2 linked regions of the Oryza sativa Japonica Group genome follow. The protein of the gene in region 2 interacts with the protein of the main gene of each other region in a pairwise test. Links are inferred from orthologs where the notes say so. Each region holds a gene or a part of one and is shown on either strand. Other genes may lie near its edges.

What was found. The genes of interacting proteins can lie anywhere in the genome.
Region 1: the proteins of molybdopterin synthase catalytic subunit (region 2) and molybdopterin synthase sulfur carrier subunit interact in a protein complementation assay, tested with the Arabidopsis thaliana proteins (2 studies listed by BioGRID). The link is inferred for Oryza sativa Japonica Group from reciprocal best matches to the Arabidopsis thaliana genes AT2G43760 and CNX7.

What each region holds. Positions count from the first base shown.
Region 1 is NC_089036.1:21,642,614-21,645,249, forward strand, and holds molybdopterin synthase sulfur carrier subunit, read left to right. Parts: upstream 1-1,409; 5' UTR 1,410-1,460; coding exon 1,461-1,790; 3' UTR 1,791-2,061; downstream 2,062-2,636.
Region 2 is NC_089036.1:2,166,416-2,169,297, reverse strand, and holds molybdopterin synthase catalytic subunit, read right to left. Parts: upstream 1,588-2,882; 5' UTR 1,370-1,587; coding exon 788-1,369; 3' UTR 557-787; downstream 1-556. UniProt on the Arabidopsis thaliana protein: Catalytic subunit of the molybdopterin synthase complex, a complex that catalyzes the conversion of precursor Z into molybdopterin.

The sequences.
Region 1 (2,636 bases), about 19 Mb from region 2:
GGAGCGTGCTCGACCTCCGCGCTCACTAGTGCGACGCTGAGGTTGTAGGTTGCGGGAGGGGGATATGGGATAAAGAAGAGAGAAGATGTTTCACTGACACGTGCATCTTATGTGAGTTTTTATTTTTGCCTCTGGCATGACGTCAGCTGAAACCATCATAAATACACTTTTGGGGGCTATGCTTGCACCAGTTTTGAAAGATAGGTATGTGTTATACCCATTTTGTGGTCTAAGGATATCAACTCTGGACTTTTGCACTAGCAAGAACTCCCTCCGTCCCATAATATAAGGGATTTTGAGTTTTTGTTTGTATTGTTTGACCACTCGTCTTATTAAAAAAATTTGCGCAAATATAAAAAAACAAAAAGTTGTGCTTAAAGTACTTTGGATAATAAAGTAAGTTAAAAAAAATAAATAATAATTCAAAATTTTTTTAAATAAGACTAGTGGTCAAATAGTACAAGTAAAAACTCAAAATCCCTTTCATTATGGATGGAGGGAGTAGCAACTACCGATCGAAGTTACCGGCAAATATGGTCCGAAATTATCACTCTTACAGGCCAAATTTATCAGCAACTACGAACGGAGTACGGAGATTGTCAATGCCAATGGGCAAAAATTTATGAGCTACCACGGGATAAAATTACCAGCAGGTACGGGCCAAAATCACAAGCAGCCATTAAAGTGTAATTAATGGGCTTCTTTTCGATGGCTCTTGTTGGGCTTAATTAATGTTTGCGGAAATTGGGCTCTGTTTAATTTGTGGTGGGCCGATGTCAAAGGAGCTCAGGAGCAGGTTTGAAATGAAATGTGAAGCATCTTTGTTTCTTACTAAAGTACGAAGTGAAAAATGCTGTGCAAACTGAAATGAAATTTGAATGTGAAGCGTCTTATAAATACTACTCCCTATGTCCTATGATATAAGGAATTTTGAGCTCTGTCCCATGATATAAGGAATTTTGAGTTCTTGCTTTACACTGTTTGACCACTCGTCTTGTTCAAAAAAATTTTAGATTTATTATTTATTTTTTTTGACTTACTTTATTATCTAAAGTATTTTAAGCACAAATTTTCGTTTTTTATATTTGCACAAATTTTTTGAATAAGATAAGTGGTCAAACAATGTAAATAAAAACTCAAAATCTCTAATATTATGGGATGGAGGGAGTAGTATAAACAAAAATGTTGTGCAAAATTGAAGAAAAACCAAAAAAAATATGCAATTCTTTTTTCAAAAAAACGTGGTCGGCAGGATTCGAACCTGCGCGGGCAAAGCCCACATGATTTCTAGTCATGCCCGATAACCACTCCGGCACGACCACGCTTGCTGTTCATCCTTCTTCTCAAAGAATCTCATATCCCCGCAGTTTCACCGATAAATTTCTCGCAATCCCATTGACCGCAGCAGCATCTGCAGCAGCGGAGCAGATCGGCATCCGCCGCTTCCTCCTCCTCCGGCGATGGCGCTGGATCCCAAAGCCAATCACGCTGCCGCTGCTGCTGCTTCCGCCGACAACCCCACGGCGGCGGCGGCGAAGGCGAAGGTGAAGGTGAAGGTGCTCTTCTTCGCCCGCGCGCGGGACCTGACGGGCGTGACGGAGGCCCCGGTGGAGGTGCCGGCAGGGAGCACGGCGGGAGACTGCCTCGCCCGGGTGCTGGCCGCCTTCCCCAGGCTGGAGGAGATCCGGCGATCCATGGTGCTCGCGCTCAACGAGGAGTACGCGCCCGAGGACGCCGCCGTCGGGGACGGCGACGAGCTCGCCATCATCCCGCCCATCAGCGGCGGCTGACAATCTTTCCACTTCTCCACCACCCTCCCCCCAATTCGAAGACACGGGGGCGCAAAGAGAGAAGAAACCACCGGTTCTTTCTTTTGCTTTCCTCTTCTTTCTACTTGTTTCCTGATACAATTTCAATCATACAATATACGCAAGTTTGAGTAATAAGCATCGCCTGTTTTCGCGATGATAATTGTTACTTGGCATCGTTGTCCTTCAATCATGTTGATGAATCTTGAATCACATTTCGATTTGAAGTGATATATGTGTGTGCTTCTTGTCTCTTGTGTGGACTTGTCTAATGACTAAAGCGGTGGTAAAGACAATTGAGATGAAATCATTGTCATGAAACAAAATCGATTTAAACTTCAGTGCATGATTGATCAGTGGGTTACTGATAATAATAAAGCTAAAGTTGGAAAATACTCCAAAAGTTGGAAGCAAATGGTGCAGATAAATCATGTGATTTTCGGTTGGGTTCTTGTGTTGTGCCTCATGGCGTGACTTGTGGACGAGTTAAGGGAGGTCAGTGGTAAAATTAAAATGATCCTTAGGCAACTAAAAGAGCAAAATTATGTGGATTGTGGATGGTCCAAATTGATCAACTGGCAGAAGTAGTGGAGGAATAAATCATATTTCCTCTCCGCTGGTTTCTTGTTAGCCACAGGAGAGCAGTGGAGGGAAGAGCTCCTTTTCATCCTGCCAAAACAATCTCAGCAAAATCAGTCCACGCGTTGTGTAGACCAATTCCTTTTTCTTATTGGGTGTGTTGTTGCACTGTTTGAGTGATAGATCAATTCCTGGTACTCCCCCCGTCCGAGAAGTTTTAGAGTTGGACACGGTTATTAAGAAAGTAGG
Region 2 (2,882 bases):
TATCTTTGACAAATTCAATGAGAAAGATGAGTTAGATGTGATTCTATTGCTTCGAAAATGTGTTTATTGACATGTTTATCAACAAATACGCTAATTCCTACTGTACAACACTGAAACTGGAAAAAAAGCACGTTAATAATGCTAATTGGAGAGAAATGTCAGAATTAGGAGGAAGTATTTGCAACAATAGTCGTATATGAGGAATCTCAAACTCAAGGTGATATCTGGTGTGTTTTTTGCAATTTTCTCGTGTTAAAAAGAGGGTTATTCATGCAGCAATGATGGCTTGCACAAAGTATCAACTGAATCTTGGGCAATCACGTGGCCTTGTCTCAGCAAAGAATGTGAAATACCACAAAGTTATGTCACTACTATTAAACTGTCATTAGTAGCAAAATTTACATGAGTCATATGTGAATATCGCAAAATTTGTCAAATCTATCAAACGAAGCAATTAATAGCCACTACTATTTGTGATCATCTTTGTGACTCCCGTGCGAATGCGACAGCTACTCTGCTTCTTCGTTAGGAAAAACAAAAATAAAGGCAGATAAACTACGCAACCATTGATTTGTTGTGCTCAGTTGGCAAAGTTGATGGTACAATTATGACGTTTGGTGGAATTTGCTTCTGAAATTTAAATTTAGACATTGCGTGTTTCATTATTTTCTCACGGAATTTAATTTCCGGTTACACAATCACATGATACAAGTAGTTCCTTCTCTTCTCTTTAAAATAAAAAAATAAAAAAAACCACGTCCGTCCGATTGCGATCCGGCGGTTGGCATCAGCTCTCGTTGACTCTCACCTTGCGGCCGCAGCAACCGCCGCCCTTCGCCGGCCGCGTCGCCGGCGCCGGCGACGACGCGGTGGTGCCGTCGGTGGTGGTGCGGTCGAGGAACTCGCGGTTCTCCTTCCAGACCTCGCCGTCGTCGTACACCTCCTTCTTCCAGATGGGCACGGACGCTTTGACCTCGTCGATGACGTAGCGGCACGCCTCCATCGCGTCGGCGCGGTGCACCGCGGACGCCGCCACGAACACGCTCGCCTCGCCGGCGGGGACCGTCCCGAGGCGGTGCGCCACGGCGAGCCGCCGCAGCGAGTGGGCGGCGCGGGCCTCCCGGAGGATGGCCGCGAGCCGGCGCCGCGCCATGGCCCCGTACGCCTCGTACCGGAGCTCCACCACCCGCCTCCCCTCGAAGCTGTCGCGGGTGGTGCCCTCGAACGTGGCGATGGCGCCCGCCGCCAGGTCGCGGACGTGGTCCACGTACCGTGCGATGTCGAGCCGGCCTGACCCCTCGTCGAGGATCTCCACGAGGTCCTCCTCCTCGGTTGCCGCTGCCGCCACGGGGAGCTCGTCGCTAGCCATGGGGTGGGGTTGAGATCGAAGTCGTCGCGTTCGTGGGAGAGAGAGAGAGAGAGAGAGATAAGGTTTCGTGGGGACGGGAGCGCGCCCGCGCGACTGCGCGAGGGGAGGCGGCGGCCGGCGGCGCGCGCTCGTCGACGGTTGGGGACGGGACCGAGCCCGCGCGACGGCGCAAGGGGAGGCGGCGGCCGGCGGCGCGCGCGTTGGACTCTGGAGCGGCGGCGGCGGCGCGGTGGAGGTGGAGATTGGAGAAATGTGGGGAAGGGGAGGGTTGACGTTGACTAGGGTTAGAAGCTATACATATCTGGTTATTGGGCTTCAATTTTATAGCCAAAACGACTAATAAAGTCTATAATTGGTCCCTAGCTACAATGCATGCGGGTCACCGCGAGGGATAGGGACTTAGGGTGGGAGTGGAGCGGCCTCCCTGCCGGCCATCCCCGATAGTGATGTGTTTTGGACCATTAGATTTTTCTTAGATGGTAGATATTAACCATCTTCATCCCCTAATACGTGAATTCACCATGGGGATTGATGATCGGTCCCATCGCCATCTATAAAATTTTGAGCTATGAAGTAATCGAGCGAGCATGCGCTAGATAAATCCAATCTGCTTCGGAATCTTCAGGTTTCACAATATTTGCAGCATTTAAATTGAAATTGAAATTCAGATGTAGCAGCAATAGGTTCAGCTTATGATCTCTTCATAGTATATTTAATAAGAAATTGAATTGAGTTCTGTAGGCTAGCTGAAGATAGGAAGATTTAAGACACGTTGCAACTATTTCTCATTTTGATACTATCGATCCCATCATTCCGCTTATCCTGATGTTTATTTCTACTGTTTGTTAGCAAACAAAAATTAATTTATAGTTCAAACTCCTAAGCGATATAAAAGAAAATGTTGCAAAATAAATCATGAAAAAAAACCTTAAAATCAAGTTCAAAACTAAAATTTAAAAAAATTAAATTTTAGTTTGTAAACATAAGTATATAAGTATAAGTATAAGTGAAACGATGAGGAACTACGACTTCAAGTCTTCAACGTACAGATCTGACCAAAGCTATAAATCGTTCAAACACTTTATGTTAAGCAACATTATTCATGAGCCCTAGCCCCTATTTTTCACTTGCACTTTGTAAATACGCATAGAAGCAATAAAGATTAATCTACTTTCAAGAGTCTTCGATTTGTGTTTTGCTCGGGTGCGGCGGTTAGAGTGGCGTCTACTGCTCATTCAGACCGACTGCAGCAGCAACAGGTGACGGCTGCGCAACGGGCGATCAGCCCGGAGGTATCTGTCCAGTCAGACCTACGCATCAACTCCGGTCAGACCGATCTCCATCGATTCGATGGTAACTTTTAATTCTGATAAAAGATTTAGATTTTGGTAATCCAACCATTTACCCTCTCTGATTAGTTTAGTTCTTTTTTGAATTCAGATTAGCTTAGTTGTTGTTGTTCGAGCATAAATGCTGAACACTAAGGCTGTATTTGAGGGAGAGGAGATTGAGA